Linked DNA regions of Macaca mulatta. The protein of the gene in region 2 interacts with the protein of the main gene of each other region in a biochemical or structural test. Links are inferred from orthologs where the notes say so. Each region holds a gene or a part of one and is shown on either strand. Other genes may lie near its edges.

The links.
Region 1: the proteins of RAB11A (region 2) and RAB11FIP4 form a complex in vitro, tested with the Homo sapiens proteins (2 studies listed by BioGRID, with this or other methods). The link is inferred for Macaca mulatta from reciprocal best matches to the Homo sapiens genes RAB11A and RAB11FIP4.

The regions. Positions count from the first base shown.
Region 1 is NC_133421.1:40,784,474-40,794,410, reverse strand, and holds the start of RAB11FIP4 (rab11 family-interacting protein 4), read right to left. Parts: upstream 6,445-9,937; 5' UTR 6,371-6,444; coding exon 6,212-6,370; intron 1-6,211. UniProt on the Homo sapiens protein: Acts as a regulator of endocytic traffic by participating in membrane delivery. Required for the abscission step in cytokinesis, possibly by acting as an 'address tag' delivering recycling endosome membranes to the cleavage furrow during late cytokinesis.
Region 2 is NC_133412.1:43,313,423-43,323,299, reverse strand, and holds the start of RAB11A (ras-related protein Rab-11A), read right to left. Parts: upstream 4,846-9,877; 5' UTR 4,729-4,845; coding exon 4,689-4,728; intron 1-4,688. UniProt on the Homo sapiens protein: The small GTPases Rab are key regulators of intracellular membrane trafficking, from the formation of transport vesicles to their fusion with membranes.

The sequences.
Region 1 (9,937 bases), on a different chromosome or scaffold from region 2:
AAAATACAAAAAATTAGAAGGGGTGTGGTGGCACGTGGCTGTGTAATCCCAGCTACTCGGGAGGCTGAGGTGAGAGAATCACTTGAACCCAAGAGGTGGAGGTTGCAACGAGCCAAGATGGTGCCACTGCACTCCAGCCTGGGCGACAGAGTGAGACTCCACCTCAAAAACAAAAAACAAAAAACAGGAAAAAAGAGTGTCTGACAAAAAATTAGCTGAGCATGGTGGCATATACTTGCAGTGCCAGCTACTTGGGAGGCTGGGGCGGGAGGCCGGTTTGAGCCCAAGAGCTCGAGGCTGCAGTGAGTGGTGATGCAGCCCTGAACTCCAGCCACAGCTACAAAGCCAGAGCCTGTTTCAATTAAAAAAAAAAAAAAAAAAAAAGGCAGGGGCGTGTCTGATAAGATGGATGAGTCCCAGCAGACTTTCTGCATCTGGCCTCCTCCCAGCACAGCCAAACTGGTGGGCATGAGAGGCCAGAGGGTGCCCCAGCTAGGACTTGTCCTCCCACCCCAAAGCAGAGTGTGGTGCCACGTGCCCATCCCCAGGCCCCAAGGGACCCCAGCCTTGGCCCCACTTCCATGATGACCTCCAACCTCAGGAGCACCGTTCCCCAGAAGCACAGGAAAGAGAACGTCTCTCTGGGCCCACTCCTGTCCTGCTCCCACCTCAGGTCCCAGGCACTCCCACCTTTCCTGCCAGGCTCAGGGCACCTGGGCCTTCCTTCTGATGTGCCAGCCTTGTTACTCTGCAGGGTGGCCTCATTAGGGTGGGGTACATCGAGGCTGCCTGGTCTCAAAAGAGCACCTTTAACTATCATCTTTTGGGAGTGGCTTGTTGGGGCTTTGCCGGCCTTCCAGGCCCCTGTCAATTCTGCACCCCTCGCCACTGCCCAAGTCAGGCTGCTTTTCCTTTCTTACCATGTGCCACAGTCCTGAGGAGGCCTTCTGCCTCCAGTCCTGCTCCCCATCCCGTTCTCCCACACACATCCACTCTTGGCTGCCTAGGTCTCCTCACTGCCTCCAGGGAACCACTGATCTGGCCCTACCTTCCCCTTCACCGCCTCCTCCGGCCACAGCGGAGGGGATACAGTTATGTCTTCCCCATTATCCAATCCCCACTCATGAGCAGAGGAGCTTTAGTTCCAGGTGCTCCTGTTCCTGGACGCCCATGTATCTCAGAAGACGTCGACCCCAGCCCCAGGGCTGGCTCCTGGCTGGTCTCAGCCCATCCTAGCACCCCAACCCTTTTGCCATTTCAAAGACCCAGGCTTAAGCCAAGTGACACTAGCAATTCCCCAATAGCGGGCATTAGCTCAGAGGGGACCCGAGGACTCAGGGAGCCGAATGGGGACCATCATTTCATCTCCAAGCAGGCAGGCCTGCTGTCCAGAGGAGATGGTGCTGGGTTAATGCATGGCAGAGGCCTACTTGGTGATTCTTATTTCCATTTTTCTAGCAAGAAGGACGGTCTTCAAACTGGAAAGGGAAGAGGACCATGTCACAAGGAAGTGTGGTCCAGGACATCTCTGGCTGCTTTCAATGTCTGCCATTCTGACTGCCGGGGGGACGCACGAGGGGCAGGAACACCACAGCTGGTTAAGGAGGGTAAGTTGAACACACAGAGGCCGGTGCCAGATCTTGACCTCAATTTCTAGCAAATCCCCAGCCTAGAACAGCCTCTCAAAAATGCTTGCAAGTGTTAAGAAAATAATAATAATGACAAGGAGAGCGCCAGCAATTCTGATATTATGCCTACTCTGTGCAGATACTGGGCTAAGCCCTTTGTATGTATTAACTCACTCAAATCCCAAAATAACCCTATGGAATGGGGCCTCTGATCAGTTCCATTTGATGGATGAGTAAATAGAGGCCTAAAGAGGTTAGGGAGACTATGCAATACATCAGGAAGGCAACGCGGGGTCAGGGTGTTGAGCCATCATGTTACATATTTATCAGAGTCCTGCTCCCCTGGCATTGTAGACTTTCAGGGTCAGGGCAGTGGTGTGCCCCCATCCCTCAAAAATCTTCCTTCCTTCCTACTTCCCTCCCTCCCTCCTTCTTCCTTTTCTTTCTTTCTTTCTTTTTTTTTTTTTTTTTTTTTTTTTGTGGCACAGTCTCACTCTGTCACCCAGGCTGGAATGCAGTGATGTAATCTCAGCTCACTGCAATCTCTGCCTCCTGGGTTCAAGCGATTCTCCTGCGTCAGGCTCCCGACTAGCTGGGATTACAGGTGCATGCCACTACACCGGGCTAATTTTTGTATTTTTTGTAGAGATGGGGATCTCACCATGTTGCCCAGGCTGGTCTCGAACTCCTGAGCTCCAGGGATCCTCCCACCTCAGCCTCCCAAAGTTTTAAGATTACAGGTATGAGCCACCACACCTGGGCCATTGTCTCCTCTTTTCTGCTGTGATATCTAGGTCAACAAAGTAGGGAACTATCAGGGACTAACCTAATCCATAAATACCATTATTAAGTAACGTTCATACTTGATCCAGACTTCCTTAGTTTTTACCTAATGTCCTCTTCTTGGTTCTAGGGTCCCATTCAGGACACCACACTGCATTTGGTCATCTGCCTCCTTAGTCTCCATTTGGCTGTGACAGTGCCTCAGAATTTCCTTGTTTTGGATGACCTTGACAAATCTGACAGGTGCTAATCAGGTATTTTGTAGAATGCCTCTCGGTTGGGATTTGTCTGGTGTTTTTCTCAGGGCTAGACTGGGATTCCTGGTTTGGGAGGAAGACCACAGAGGAAAAGGTCTATTCTCACCACATCACACTAAGGGTATATGCCATCATCATGACCTGTCACTATTGATGTTGGCCTTGATCACCTTCTGAGACAGTGTGTGTTGGGTTTCTCCACTATACAGTTGTTCTTCCCCTCCCCTTTCCAAACTCTACCCTTTATAAGGAAGCCACTACACACCTCATGCTTACAGGGTGTGAAGTTATGCTTTACTTCCTCAGTGGGGCAATTATTAGCATATGTTATTTGGATTTCTTCTATACGAGAGATTTTCCTATTTATTTATTATTCATTTGTTCAATAATTTATACTATATATACTTCATTATGGCCTCATGGATATTTATTTCATACTTTATGACCTAGTATATTTTGGTTTCTGCAAAGCATTTGATCCTGGTATCCCTGGTATTCTGGGGGTAGGTGGTAAACTGTGGACAATCAGCTGTAAGTTCACTGAACTCCATATCTAATGAATGAGCATTATCCACCCCAGAGCACCAAGTGGCTAGGAAATCAATGCCACTGCCTGATTTTAAAGCAAATGAAATAGAAACAGTTAGAGTACACTGCATTTTGTAAGGGAGGCCCCCTCCACCACTGGAAAACAACGCTCCGATTTTGTAATGCATCAGGGGATATGATGGGTAGTGAGTAGAGATGCAAAGTATATTTCCACGGGTCTCGGTCAATACAGTGTGAGCAGAAAACCACCCCTACAAGTGCCTCGGGGCCCTGTCCATGGTCCTGCCCCGCATGTTTAACCAGCCTTGTGGATTCAGACACACCAAGCACTGCTTCTCCACAGCTGAGACTGACAGAGGTAGGATGGTAGATTCTCTTTCTTGACACATACAATGTGAGGAAATGAACAAGACGAAATTAAATGGAAATAAGGGCCAAGAAACAGGCTTATATTCCAGAAATTATTGACACAGATAACAGGCCCGAATGCTTCCACAAGCCAGGATTGTTAAAAGAAAAAAGAAAAAAAAAAAAAAGGAATTGTGTTACAGTAAGAGAGACTAAAAGGTGACAACAACCACATACACTGCACAGTCCTAGAGAGGAAACAGCAAAAATGGACATTTTGGGGTCAAATAGGGAAATCTGAAAAAGGTCTGCATATTAAACAAGATGAAAATTTATTGAAGCAGAAAAGTGATGATCATTTACCGGCAAAAAAATCAGGTTACAAAACAGTATGCACAGTATGATCTCATTTTCTGGAGAAAATTGGCATATAAGCATGGAAACAGCTGGAAAGGTCTGACAGAAGTGTCATCGAGGCGCTGCGGGAGAGATAGGACACAATACGTTTTATTTTGCTTGTCCCTATTTCCAGTTTTCTGCAGTGCATATCCACCGCTTCTGTAGTAATATCAGAGTATGTTTTTAAAAGAAAGAAATCACTGACGCTCCCCCAAGGGTGGAGAATCCCTGGCTTGGCAGAGGTTTCTAAAACAGATCCCTGGAGGTTTTGGTGGCCAGAAACTTAATATGAGTGGACAGTGCAGAGGCAGCCCCACCCTGAGCTGCGTGCATGTGTAAGGTCTTGGGGCTGGTACAGTCTTGGGTGGGCGGGGGGGCGGTCTGCTGGTCCAGCCCTTTCATGTTATTGCTAGGAAAACTGAATCACAGAATTAGGTGATGGCAGCTCCAGGGCCAGAAGCCAGATGTCTGGCTACTGGGTCACATGGAAATGGCCTAGGGCTTCAGGAACTGGGGTATTTGGCCTGGAGAAGGGAAAATGGGAGTAAGGAGCTAGGAAGGAGAGAAGGGGCATGAGTGCTATTTTCAAATATTTAAAGGCCCCGGCAAAGAAAAGAGACCTATGTGAGTCCCTGTGCAGAATGGTGATGACTAAGTGACGAGCAGGTCTGTCTCTAGAGTGTATGAGGGAGAAGGTTCTAATGGCAGGAACTGTCCAGCCGGGGGAGAAGTGGGTGAGGCTTGCTGGGCACGTGGCCGAGGTTGGTGGCCCCTGCCAGAGGTTGCTGGGAGACCCTTCCCACCACTGAGGCTCTGTGGTTCGGGGACTCCAGGTTTCAGCCAGAGCTGGTGGCTTCTTTACCCGCCCTGCAGCCTGTGTCCTGAGAGGAAGGAGCGGGACTCTACCTACACCAGGAGGCGGCTCAGCCTGCCCCAGATGGGAACCACCGGGAAAAGGGAAGGGTGTGGCTGGCCTTTAGGGAAGAAAGGTCATGGTGGCAGCAGGCAGTGCCCCTCAGCAGAGCCCCGCAGAGGGCAGTCTGGGCTCTCACAGGCACTGCAGTGGTGTTTCCTGGGGTGGGTACCTGAGTTCTCAAGCCCTGAAGCTGCCTCGCTCTCTTCTGCCCACCGCTCTCAGCAACTCACAGGTCCCGGCCCATGCCCAGGTGCCAGTGAGAGATAATTCTCCATCGTCTCTCACTGTCTGGTGACACGGAGGCACGGGTCCAACCTGGCCATCATCCAGCTTCCCCCATGTCCTGAAATGCCTGGTCTGACCTGTCCCGGGAACACAATGCCAGCCAGTGCCCATTTGAGGCCCATGGCCCCAGGCCCCCCATGCAGGGCCTGAGGCCTTAGATGGTCTTGGAAACCCACTTCTCAGGGCTTTTGTCTCCAGGGGAAATCCCTGACCATTTCAGCCAGGTGGGTGTTCTGTCTTCCCCTAAAGACAAAGTCCCCAGTCCCCACGCCGGTGCCACCAGAGGACTCTGGTGTGGTGATATGACTCCGTCCACCCTACTGGCTGCACCGACCCTCCGCTTCCAGCCCTGTTAACAATCTACGTAAGTCCTGCTTTCCCCAAATAGATGCCACATGAAAGCCCTCTGCTCAGCCACCACTCCCCGAGCCTGGCTCTGCTTGGCCTGCTGCAGCCAACACAGCCGGCTGCCAGCCTGGCTGCCCAGCAGAGCCTGAATGAGAGAGGTCACTCAGCACTGGGCCGGGAATACACGGTGGCCCCAGCAGACACCTTCTCCTGTGTCTGGGCAGGGTGGGTGCAGCCAAGGAGCCAAGGCTGCAGAGCACCCCTACCTGTCCCTTTCACCCCCTGGCCCGGCCCAGCAGAGCGTACACAGACCCTTGCATCTTGTTCTCCGCAGCTGGGGGTGGGGTGGGGAGCCTGGGACCAGATTCTGGTAGGTCTCTCCCCAAGACAAGGGTGGATGTGCAGACCGCTCAGAAGGACCTGCACGACCGAGGATGGAAGGTGGGCGCAGAAGCCACCCTGGGCGTGACGCGTGATGCTCGGGGCACAGGCGCCACGAAGGGGGGAAAGTGAGGGCTCGGCTGTGCCGGGGATACCCGGGGGACCGAGGTCCTGGGCTCCGGCGGAGGGAGGGGATTGGGAGGGAGGCCACTGCCTCGGGCCACGCGGGTGACCCGGCGGGAGAGCTGGGGGAGGGGCGGCGGGGCTGGGGGCTGGGCTGGGGTCCCCGGACCGGGACTGGGGTCGGGCCAGCTTACCTCCTCGCCCTGGCCGAAGCGCAGTCCGAGCGCCGCGACGCGTTCCACGCGCAGGAAGCCGTCGGGGTCGCGGCCGCACACCTCGAACACCTCGCGCAGGCGGCGCACGGAGCGCAGCAGAGCCGCGGGGGCGCCCGCCCAGCCCGCGCCGCCCGCCATCCGGGCCGGCCCGCAGCTCAGCCCGGACCCCTCGCCCGCCGCACCCGCCGCCCTCCCGCCGCCGCCATCGCCGCGCGCCCTCCGGAGCCGCCCGCCTGGGTCTGCGCCGCGCAGCCTCCGCCCGGTGGCGGCCGCGGCCGATCAGTGTCAGCAGCGGCGCCGCAGCCCCCGCCGCTCCAGAGGGGAAGGGAGGGGAGGGGAGGGAAGGGGAGGGGAGGGGAGGGGAGGGGGAGAGGGGAGGATAAGGGGGAGGGGCAACGGGGGAGGGGAGGGGCAATAGGAGGAGGGGGGGCAACGGGGGAGGGGACGGGCGGGGGCCGCGGCGAGAGCGGGAGGGAGAGAGGGAGGCGGCAGCGGCGGCGGGGACGCTGCAGACAAAAGGAGCCCGCGTCCTCCCGAGTGGGGCCGTCCACGCGGGGCCGGCAGGCGCAGCGCGCTGCCTACGGTCGCCTCCTCCGCGGCCTCAGTTTCCCTCCGCGTCCCGGAGCCCGCCCCTTCCCCTGGACACCCGGAGCCACCCGAAGGCCCCGCCCTGCCGGAGGATTCCGCAGGGTCGTGCCCCTCTCCGCTGCCCGTGCCCGCTGCCGCGCCTCGCGTCTCCCGAGGGGTCAGGATGTCCTGGGTGTCTCCTGCGTTGGCGCGTTCCGTGACTGCATTCATGTCGGAGGAAGCTGAGGCCCAGAGAGGTCGGACTCACTCTAGGCCACACAGCTCGCGATAGGCAGGGCTGGGATTCGCTCCCAGCTCTGGAGGGCTCTGGACTCCGCTCTTCACCTCGGCGCCGCGGTCTCCCGGCGCTCTACTCCAAGACAGCAGTTGTGGGGCCATCGGGCGGGGGGAGGGCACAGAGAGGAGGAGCAGGGAACTGAACCCCAGCCTGGACCCGGGACCCTGCGACAGGGAGGTGAGGAGAAAACCAGGATGAGGCCCAAGGGAGGAAAAGCGAGGCCCTTCCAGAGGCCTGCCTGTGGCAGGACCCAGGGCTGCCCCACGCCTGGAGGAGGCTTCCTCCCTTTCCCCGAGTTCCCACCATCACACCTCCCTGGCAGCCCGCATGCCCCAAGCTCAGAGAGTCCAGGACAGAATCTCTGTCCTGGTGGCTGCAGGCTCCAGGTCAGGACCTTGGCCTCCTCCCATTAGTGCTCAGCGGAGCCTCCACCCCAGCTTGTACTGACTTCCCAGCCGCGCTTCGGGGACCTGCAGGACCGGGCCGGGCTCTCCTCTGCTCTCCTCCTCCTTGCTGGGCACATCAGGTCTTTGTGGCAACGATTGGCCCCAAGCCAAAAACAGGCCTTGGTTGAGGCTACTCCCACCTGTGCTGTCCTGCTCAGCACTGAGGCTTCCCCTTCCGGGAAGGCTTCTCTGATGGCACTCTCATCTTGTCTTCTATCCTGAGTTCTAGGCCCTTCTTCCAGATGCCCAGTTAGTTCTTCATTCTCTAGTGGGATGCCCATTTTCCCTACCATGCTGGGAAGCCCTCCAGGGCAAGACATGTCTTAATTACCTTCAAGTCCCTGATCTCCAGCCAAGAGTGGGCCCAGAGGAAGCCCCACCCAGAGGGGATGGGCCCGCCCATTGTGTGAGGAGCCAGGAGCAATGTAGTGGGAGTCCGGGGTGAACTGCATGACCTCCCCTAGCTGGGCCTCGGTTTGTAGCTCTGTGGTCTTCCTGCTCAACCCTGAATATATCCTGCACAGGGACTGCCATTTGCCTTCTGATAGTGGGCGGGGCCTTCTTCTTTCCAGCCCTGGCTCCTGGGATGAACCTGGCTTTTAGCTACTCTCCTTTGACCCTTCGGTTCCTCTGAGAGCCATGAAAGGCAGCACCTGTTGGGAAGAGAGACCTGTGGTTCTGAGGATTGAGGAGTCGGAAATGTGTGAAAGCGGGAAAGGGGAGGCCTTGGGATTGGAGTGGGGGTATTCGGCTGAGTGAGAGCGTCTCTGCTAGCTGGATGCCCCTCAGCCGGATACTAACATATTTTAGCTGGTTTCCTCGCCTGTACAGTGGGGATAATAGTGCCTTCCTTTTAGAGCGACTGAAGATGAGAGCGAATCTAAGCAATGCTGCTTCCCCCGGCCTACCCTGCAAAATGGAGGTGGAAATGGAGAATAAGGACGGGCGGTTGGTAGGGAGAGACTGGCTGCTGGAGACTCAGCCAGCTCCCCGGCAAGGAGGTAGGGAGTGGAAGCTGGGGGCTGCTGCCTGCCCCTGGGACCCCGATATTAGTTCGTCCAAGGTCAGCTTGTGTGGTTTTCTCTCACCCAAGGGGCTCAGCACAGAAAGGAGATGGCCAGGAGCTGGGGCTGCCCCCTGGTGGGGGCTGCAGAAGTGGCTCTCCGCGCTCTGCCTGGCATTGAATGCCCCCTTACTGGGGACAGGGGAGCTGGAAGACTCACCCACTTCAGCTGGCAGAGGCGGGGACCTCAGGCCTGAGCATGAACAAATCCCAAGTGAACCAAGACAGGATCCCGCCATGAGATTAGCCAGTTCTTGTCAAAGATAGGATCATCACAAATTCAAAAATCCCCCAGGAGAGCTTTCCCTGACCCGACTCTCCTTGCCCAGGTCTCTGCAGTTTTGTCTCTGGTGGGCAATGGTTTGAAGGACACCTGCCTCGCCCACCAGTGGCACTGGGTCTCTTGCTCACCGCTGTGCTGCTGGGGCCAGCAAAGCACATCACAGGCATTCTTTCTGGGGTTGTCACGTTTTTGTGGCGCACCTATGTTGTGTCGGGTATGCTAGGATGACAGTGAAAGGGGAGCAGCCACTTGCTGAACTTGATGGGGACAGTCATGGCCCAGTGTGATCTACATTGAGGTCCCAGGCTCTAGGAGCCCAAGAGGGCCTGCTGAGTGCCTACCCAAAGGTCCCTCAGAGATGGTGAGATTTATGGAGTCCTTGGGTCCTTGGACGTGGACCTGGGACCACTAAGGCTCCCATCACCTTGATCGAAGAGCTCAAAGTGCAACCCCGAGCAGAAGCAGCAAGAGAATATCCATGTCAGGACCGGCTGCAGGACTGGGAACCTCAGGGTGAAGGGGGTTGCTCCAGGAAAGCAAGAGGTCCCCATGGATAGAGTGGGAAGGCGGGGAGCCTCCTTACTGTTCTCCACTTCCTCCAGGTGACCTCTGATTCTCCAGGGGATTTCCAACAGCTGCAGCAGCCTTGTCAGGCTGGAAATATACTGGGAAATATACATGGAAGGGACAGTTGGGATTCTGGCCCCTTCTCTAGGAAGAAACAAGTTTGATCAGGTCCCTCCCCTGCTGAAAACTCAATGGCCACCATTGCCTGAGCTGGCATTGTGCAGTGTCTTCATACTCTCCTGCACTCCTTAACCCTAGTGTGGGAGCATCCAGGCTCCCTACTGCCTCCCTCTGTTTAGTGGGTGGGAGGCCTCAATCCTACTCCATCCCAATTCCACTTTCTCTAATTCCTGTCCTTGTGTTGTGGAAGTGGCACTTCCTACAGGAAGCCTTTCATGACCACCCCCATCTTGCCCCCTTGACCACCTCTCTCATGTGCTCCTGCGGAGAGGTGAAAGTACAGACTGTGTAGCCCACTTAC
Region 2 (9,877 bases):
GGGAGGCGGAGCTTGCAGTGAGCTGAGATCCGGCCACTGCACCCCAGCCTGGGCGACAGAGCAAGACTCTGTCTCAAAAAAAAGTTATCAGCTAGACACCTACCGTATTTGAGTATCATCGCAAATACCTAATACTAAATATCAAGCTGCTAAATGCATAAAAGCAGAATATACATATTAATTATCCATTGTTTAATTAAAAATTTCTGCTTCTTCAACTACATTTAGTTTTATACTTTCTCTTGCAAACTAATTTACTGGACCAAAATATAATTCATCAAAGACAGTACCTCAACCCTAAAAGTTACCACCTGAAAGAATAACTGGTAATTTTCATTCTGGTTTTCATAAATTTCGAGACATTTCTATTCTTTCAACTATATTCATACAGTCCAACCTCCTCAAAAGTTTTTAATATACAATGCATTCAAGGTGGGACACAGTGGCTCATGCTTGTAATCTCAGCACTCTGGGAGGCCAAGGTGGGAGGATCCCTTGAGCCCAGGAGTTTGAGACCAGCCTGGGCAATGTAGGGAGACCCCATCTCCACAAAAAAGAAATTTTTATTTCTGTAAGTAGGATAGTCTTAAAAAAAAAAAAAAAGAAGCCAGGCATGGTGGAGTACATTTGTAGTTCCAGCTACTTGGGAGGCTGAGGCAGGAGGATTTCTTGAGCACAGGAATTTGAGGCTGCAGTGGGCTATGACTGTGCCATGGCACTCTAGCCTGGGCAACAGAGGGAGACCCTGCCTAAAAAAAAAAATATATATATATATATATATATATATAGAGAGAGAGAGAGAGAGAGAGAGAGAGAAAGAATTATATATATAATGCAAACAATAAGGCTCAAGTCTAGACAAGTTTTTCCAGATTCAGCAGAATCTGAGTTGCTCAACCAAAACTTGTGAAAGAAAAACTACTAACAAGATGCAAGACAGCAAAGTTTCCATGATAATTTATACTGACAATCAGCTGACGGTTAATTACTACTGACTTCCAATGTGATTGAAAAGAAAATGTCTTAAGCAATAGACTATGTATCCAGGTATTTTCAGAAAATGTAACTTTGGATTGGTGCCTACCACACAATATTTGTAAACAGAAATTATGACTGATGCTTACTTACGTCCCACAGGGCCTTAACCACATTGTTTGTAAATACAAAATTAAAGTTTTAAAAATAAAAAGTTTAAATAAAATAAAACTAATTCCCTCCCACCAAAAGTCTCACTATTGGGCTTAAATAAAGGTCATAATTTAGAATAATTGTACTGCTCGTCCCACATTACATTCCTATTTAGACCACTCCATCCCCTATTAATTAAAATATCCCTTTATTTTCAACTTGTTAGTTACAAACTAACTCCAATTTCCTCAACTATTGCATTTGCTAGGTTAAGTCTAAGTACAAACAGCTGCAGTCCATCTCAGTGAATAAATCTCTGTACAATAAAGTTATTTTAAAATAAAATCATTCTTCACTTTAAAGCAGGATACTTGTATAAATAAGAAATTGGCTAAATAATCAGTATTGAAGTTAAAAAAAAAAAAAAGAAAAAAGTGACTCATATCCTGTAAGAGCTTTAAAAAATTAGAAATCTGGCCAGGCACGGTGGCTCATGCCGGTAATCCCAGCACTTTGGGAGGCCCAGGCAGGTGGATTACCTGAGATCAGGAGTTTGAAACCAGCCTGACCAACATGGAGAAACCCCGTCTCTACTAAAAATACAAAATTAGCCGGGCGTGGTGGTGCATGCCTGTAATCCCAGCTACTCGGGAGACTGAGGCAGGAGAATCGCTTGAACCCAGGAGGCAGAGGTTACAGTGAGCCAAGATCGCATCATTGAGCTCCAGCCTGGGCAACAAAAGCGAAATTTCATCTCAAAAACAAAAAAGTAGAAATCCTCCTCAGCAGAAGTTTTAATACCCTATCTTAAACAGCAAAATGCACAACAAAATGAAACCATAACCCATGGAAAAATAAAATGCATTAGAAGTTTCCAGTTTTATGTTTTTTTAATAATATTTAAACGCTGTTGTAGTTGAACCTACATTTAAGGTTCAAAAAACCGACAAAGGCCAGGCACACTGGCTCACGCCTATAATCCCAGCACTTGGCGGGGGCTGAGGCAGGTGGATTGCTTAAGTCCAGGAGTGCGAGACCAGCCTGGGCAACATGGCAAAACCCTGTCTTTACAAAAAAAAAAAAAAAAATTAGCTGGACGTGGTGCTGCACTCTTGTAGTCTCAGCTACTCTTAGGAGCTAGAGAGTAGCTAGGGAGGCTGAGGTGGGAGGGTCACCTGAGCCTGAGGAGGCCGAGACTGCAGTGAGCCTTGATTGTGCCACTGCACTCCAGCCTGGGGGACAGAGCGAGACCCTGTCTCAAAAAAAAAAAAAAAAAAAAAAAACTGACAAAACCACAGTAACTTCTTTCACATTATTACCATTTATTGAGTCCTCATGGTTAAAATTTTACAAATAGTCTCATTTAACTCTCACAACAATCTTAAGAGACAGGTATTTTCCTTTACATAAATGAGAGAACTGAGACTCAGAAAAGTTAACTTTTCCAAGGTCATATAGTAAATATAAGACCTGAGTCAGGATCTAAACCGAAATCTACGTTAATTCCAAAGCTCGGTGCTCTCAATCGTTGCTAGAAGGATGGTCTAATCAAAAAGCTGAAATACTTTAGGCCAATTCAGAATATTTAATATTCTTTGTTAAAAAATAAAAGGACCTTGTATAACCAACATTCCAGTTCAAACCAAATAGGAGAAATACCCTGACGGTCTATCTTGTTCTGAATTAATTACTTCAAAGACAGCCTTTATAAAGGCACACTACCATTATACCATATTTTAAAACACAAACCTCCCTTTAACCCCAAAGTCTCAAGAGATTCAAATAATTTCACATCATCTCAGATACCTTCGGCAAAACGTATGCTATAGTATACTTTCTGTAATCCAGGTCTGAGTTTTGTATTTGTAAAATGAACTAAGTACCCTGAAAGTACTTTCCAGCATGGGGTGGAGGGGGGATACCAAAAGTATTCACCCTATACAATAGAATATTCTGGGTCAGAGGCGTAAGAGACGACAAGAGTACAACAGCAGGCTAGTATAACAAGATTTGCAAAGTATTGGGAAAGCAAACAAATCTTTCCTGCTTGGTTTAGTCAATCATTCTTAGCACCCAATGGCAAAGACAGAAACAGTCACCATGCTTAACACTCTTTAAACTCCACCCTCCACAGTAAAGCTTTAATAGCAATGGCTTCTTCCTCAGTGGTAATGATCTTTGTTCAGCACACTACTGATGGCTACCTTCCCAATTCAGGAGCAGAGAAAGAGCATCAGAGTGAGAGTACATTCACTGAACAATAAAAGCATCTACTGTACTTTCTTCTTATTGAAAAATGTACCCTTTATCTTCGTTGACTAAAAAAAAAAATTGGATTCCTTCCGGACTCAACCAATAAGCAATTCTTTCTAACCAACCCTGACCCTCCGATATGTTCTATCCAAGGGCACTACATGTTTCCGTACCTTATAATAAATATTTAATGTGACCAAAAGAGCACACAACTTCCTTCCTACCCCCAACCTTTTGGGAAAGGTATGTGGCCAACTAGGGCTCTTCCCTTCCTGTTGGATCCTCCCAGTGTTGCAGCAGGAAGCAACCAGTCCATAGAGATAAAGCAAGCTAGTATTTGTGCAGCGCACAACCTTTCCTGCTCAGGAACCGGGCCTTCAGGTCTGGCAAGGATAACAGCCACCACCCATCCGCAACCTCTTCTCGCGAACCGAGTAAAGAGTTATCCCGGGTTGTGTGCCACTGAGTAGGGAGAGCAAGATAATAAAAGGCTAGGTGGGAAGTAATGTCAGCCTGCCGGGTCACTGCGACAAGTGCGCGACTGGGTGATGGTCGATCCCTCTTACCCTCCCACCACCCGGGTCGCAACGGAGACCAGGGAGCTCTAAACACGATCTGGGGAGGGAAGGTAGAGAGAGTTGCCAAATGGGGAGTGGGGGAGGGAGCGGTCAGAGAAGGTTAAGGACCGCGAGAACCGCGGGGCGGAGGGTGGGGGTGGGGACCCCTGGCCCGCTCAGATTTTACCGGGTCCTGGACCCGGGATGCGAGAAGCTTAGAGGGGGGGCCGAACAAGGGGAGGAGATATGCAGAAAAGAGGCTCGCTCGAGGGGGAAAGGGGGCAGATAAGAAAAGACCTGTAGTGGGAGTCTGCACCGAAGGCAAGGCCAAGAGGGAAGCGAAGAACCCGTCACAGGGGCTTCGGGAGAGGACGCCAGCCGGGAAAGGTGTACGCTGAGGGGGAGGGGGCGCTACACCCGAAAAGAGAGATGGTGGGAGGGGCGGCGGGGCCGCAGAACCCAGGGAAAGGAATTCGACGATATGCGAGAAGGCAGTCCGCCAGGGGAAGGACACGCAGGGAGGGGCTGTGAGGCCAGCCAAGGCCCACGGAGAGGTCGCTCAGAGAGCGGCATGTGATGGGGACCCCTGTCTGAGGAGGAGAGAAGCTGAGCTGGGTAGGAGACGGAACCACACAAAAAGGAAGGGCTGAGGCAGGCCTCTATCAGTGCACGGGTGGCCGGCACGTCCGCCGAGTGTGTCCCGGGTCCCCGAACGGGGACTGTGTAGAGTGCGAGAGCCCATGGCCTCACCTTTAAAGAGGTAGTCGTACTCGTCGTCGCGGGTGCCCATTGCGCGGCCGAGGAGCGAAAGGGCGGGAGCAGCAGTGGTATCTGTGGGACCAGGGGGCGTCGCTGCAGGGGTAACCCGAACGCCGAGCTTCAACTGCCGGACTGGGTGAAGAGCCCCTCCTTGCCGCTGCGCCACTTCCGGCAGGCCCCAGCCTTTAAGGGGAAGTACTTCCGGGGGCGGCTCCCCGTCCCTGAACCCAAGAAGGGCGGTATGCACGAGAGTCGCGATGCGTGGGGCTTCAAACTTTCGTCGCTAAAGGAGGCTCAAAGGGGAAACTGAGTCCTGGAATTCCTAGCTACCGTGGTCTTAGTGGCCTCTTGCTTATTTCTCGAGCTACCGTGCCCGGAAGCGACTCGCTGGAACCGGGCGGGACCGCCTGTGAGTGGTGGGTTTGTGGATGGGGGCGGGGTTGTCTAAGGATCAGAGAGCCGAAGGCAACTACATATGCGTGGCGGTTCCATGGTGTAATGGTTAGCACTCTGGACTCTGAATCCAGCGATCCGAGTTCAAATCTCGGTGGAACCTGCATTGGTGCTTTTTTTTTTCCTTAACAACTTTTTTGTTCACTAAGTAATTGAACAACTATGACATATATTAACATGGAGATGTAAAATTTAATCCTTGCCTATGAAGAACTCACAAATTTCCCACTGCATTTGAGGTACTATCTGCTACCTGGCGGGGGTTGTCTTAATGAGCCTCTTCACTACCTTTTTTTTTTTAACCCTGGCCCCTCAAACTTTAATTCAGAAGCTTCAATGAAACTTGAAAATTCCTTTTGCTGGAATTTTCTACCTCCAGCTTCATGCACGGGTAGGCGCTTGTCACTCACTCCTCTCCGGAAATCTCTCAGTCTATCTCGTTTTCATTTAGAGTACTTCGCCCACCCTCCTCATCAAGATTCATCAAGAACTTGAGTCCTATTTGTAGGCCTCTAATCTAAGTCCGTTTACATAAGTATTTCATTTAATATGCCGAGCAAAGGATGGCAATTTCCATTTTAGCGGAAATTTGGATACTAAGACTCAAGTGATTTGCCAGATATCATGCCGCAGGGCCTCCCTGTATTTGAAGAGAATTTTGTAATTCCAGAAAAGCCTTTATCCAATTATTGTCACACCTCCTACCTCCTATATGCAAACTCTCGATTTAGACTTGTGGGCAAGTGTGCCTAGAACAAGCAGAAGAATACCACCTGCCAATGATGTCCACTTCCCAATTCCCAGAGACTGAATAGGTTAGGTTACATGGCAAAGGGGAATTGAGGTTACAGATGAAATTAAGGTTGCTAATCAGCTGACATTAAATTAGGGATATTATCCTGGATTATTTGGGTGACCCCAGTGTTGTCGTAAGAGTACTTAAAAGTGGAAAAAGGGCTGGGCACGGTGGCTCACGCCTTAATCCCAGCACTTTGGGAGGCCGAGGTGGGTGGATCACCTGAGGTCAACAGTTCAAGACCAGCCTGGCCAACAAGGTGAAACCCCGTCGCTACTAAAAATACAAAAAGTTAGCCGGGCGTGGTGGTGGGCGCCTGTAGTCCCAGCTACTCTGGAGGCTTAGGCACGAGAATCGTTTGAACCCGGGAAGCAGAGGTCGCAGTGAGCTGATTAACAGCTGAGTCAATGGGCTGGGAAAGGCAGGCCCACCCTTAACCTGGGTGGGCACCATCTAATCAGCTGCCAGCGAATATAAAGCAGACAGAAAAATATGAAAAGGCTAGACTGGCTTAGCTTCCCAGCCTACATCTTTCTCCCGTGCTGGATGTTTCCTGCCCTCGAATGTTGGACTATAAGTTCTTCATCTTTGAGACTCAAACTGGCTTCCTTGCCTCTCAGCTTGCAGAAGGCCTATTGTGGGACCTTGTGATTGTGCGAGTTAATACTACTTAATAAACTCCCATTTATATATATATATGTCTATCCTATTCATTCTGTTCCTCTAGAGAACCTGGACTAATACAGTTGGTAAGAAAATAAAAAGGAACTGTCTAGTAAAAAGCCTGGAATTATAAATTTAGAAATGCCTAGCCTTAGACTGTGGGAGAAGCAAGACCTGAAATATATCTCACCCTCCACATCTGGGGAGGTAACCTTACATGTTTGTTAAAAACAAAGTGAGGACTGATAAGGCTGTGTTTAAACTTCAGCTCAGTCATTCACTAAAGCTGTGTCAATTTCAATAATTTATCTAATCCTGCTGAATCCCAGTTTCTTATCTGCAAAATGGGGACAAACAGGAAGAAGGAATTAAGTAACATATGTATAGCTGTTAACAGTGTGCATGGAACATAATAAATATTTATGAATGCATTGACTTTTTTCTTTTTCCTTTTTTTTTTTTTTTTTTTGAGTCAGGGTCTTGCCGCGTCACCCAGGTTGGAGTGCAGTAGTGCGATGTCGGCTCACGGCAACCTCCGTATCCTGGGCTCAAGCAATTCTCCCACCTCCACCTCCCAAGCAGCTGGGACTACAGGTGTGCACCATCGCACCTGGCTAATTTTTGTATTATTTGTAGAGAGGGGGTTTCGCCATCTTTGCCCAGGCTGGTCTTGAACTCTTGAGCCCAAGCGATGCTCCCATCTCAGCCTCCAAAAGTGCTAAGATTACAGGAAAGAGCCACTGTGCCTGGCCAAATGCAGTGATTTTCAACAGGGGTCAATCTTGTGTCCAGAGACATTTGATAACATCTGGAGACATTTTTAGTGTCACTACTTGGGGGTGCTACTGGTATCTAGTAGGGACCAGGGATGCTGCTAAATGTTCTACAACACACAGGATAGCACTCCCAACAAAAAGAATTATCTGGCCCAAAATGTCAGTAGTTACCAAAGTTGAGAACCATGAGTTATTATTGTAAGAAATAGCCAGATGCCAGGCCAGAGCCTATGATGGGAAAGGGGCAGGATGCCATGATCCTCACCTCCCTGTCCTAGCTCATTTGAAGAAAGTGAACCTCATTCCCTAGGTCTCAGGAAGAATCCCCAGGGACAGACTTTCCTCCCTTCCATATCCCATAAAGCAGAGCCTGGGGGCCACTGGCCTGACCCAAAAAGCTTCCGTAGTGGTTTCCATTTGTTAAATAAACATGTCATTGTTATATTTCTTTCTTTCTTTTTTTTTTTTTTTTTCTTTTTTTGGAGATGGAGTCTCTCTTTGTCACCAGGCTGGAGTGCAGTGGTGCGATCTCGGCTCACTGCAACCTCTGCCTCCCAAGTTCAACTGATTCTCCTGCCTCAGCCTCCTGAGTTGCTGGCATTACAGGCATGCACCACCACACCCGGATAATTTTTGTATTTTTGTAGAGACAGGGTTTCACCATGTTGGCCAGGCTGATCTCAAACTCCTAACCTCAAGTGATCCACCTGCCTCAGCCTCCCAAAGTGCTGGGATTACAGGCATGAGCCACCACGCCCAGCCTCAGTGTTCTATTTCTTAAAGGATTTTTACAGGGTTGTTCCCTTTATAACTGTGTTAAACTCTATATACCAGTTTTATGCGCTTTTGTAATAATATTAGGTTTACCTCACAATACAATTTTCAGATGGGGCATCGTAGCTTGTGCCTGGGAGGCCAAGGTAGGAGTATCGCTTGAGGCCAGGAGTTCAAGACCAGCCTGGGCAACCTAGCGAGACCCCCCCCCATCTCTCCAAAAAATGGAGAAATTAGCCAGAATGATGGCACCTATGTCCCTGTAGTCCCAGCTACTCAGGAGGCTGAGGTGGGAGAATCACTTGAGCCGAGGAGTTCAAGGTTACAGTGAGCCATGATTATACCACTACACTCCAACCTGGGCAACAGAGCAAGACCCTGTCTCTAAAAAAAACAAAAATGTTTTTGAGAGAGAAAAGTTGATGGACTTTATGAAGTGAAATTTGGCCCAGCATGGTGGCTCCTATCTGTAATCCTAACAGTTTGGGAGGCCAAGGCAGGCAGATTGCCTAAGCTCAGGAGTTTGAGACCAGCCTGGGCAACATGGCAAAATCCCACCTCTACTAAAAATAAGAAAAAATAGTCAGGTATGGTGGCATTCACCTGTAGTCTCAGCTACTTCGGAGGCTGAGATAGGAGAATAGCCTGAGCCCAGGGAATTCGAGGCTGCAGTAAGCCGTGATTGCATGACTGCACTCCAACCTGGGCAACAGAGCGAGACCCGGTCTCCAGTAAAATAAAAATAAGTAAAAAATTTAAAAAGAGGTGAAATTTGTCTTTTGTATTGTTTATCTTTTCTATTATATAGAATATATTCGAATATATATTATACTATATATATATAAGATGTATACTATATACATGTACGCTATACATGTATATAGTAATCCCACTAACTGAGCCCAGTAACTGGGCCCAGTAACTGAGCCCAGCTGACACTTTCAGGGATAATGGATATGTTCATTATCTTTATTGTGCTAATGGTTTCACAGGTGTATACATATCTCAAAACTCGTCAAATTTCACATTTTAAACAGGTATGCTGTATTGTTTTCTGGAAAGACAGCAAGATCAAGGAAGATATACATGTATACTATATACATATATTAGAATTTATGTAATACTCTATTATATATTAGAATATATATACTGTATTATACTGTATTATATATTAGAATATATACTATATTATATATTAGAACATATACTGTGTTATATACAGTATATAGTATATTATGAGGTGACAAATTGTACATATGATCAGGGAAATTCTCATCTTTGATTAGCTGGGTTTTTGTTTGTTTAAGACAGTCCTGCTCTGTCGCCCAGGCTGGAGTGCAGTGGCACGATCTTGGCTCACTGCAACCTCCGCCTCCCATGTTCAAGCAATTCTCCTGCCTCAGCCTCCCGAGTAACTGGAATTACAGGCACATGTCACCACGCCCAGCAGTAGAGACGGGGTTTCGCCGTGTTGACCAGGCTGGTCTCGAACTCCTGACCTCAAGTGATCCACCCACCTCGGCCTCTTAAAGTACTGGGATTACAGGCATGAGCCACCGCTCCTGGCCTGATTATTTGTTTATAGTAACTAAAGTATCAGCTAGCCTTAAAGAAAAAAGTGATAAATATATATGTTTACAAATAAAGATATGTATTAGGCCAGTGTGGTGGCTTAAGCCTGCAATCCCAGCACATTAGGAGGCCAAAGCAAGAGGATC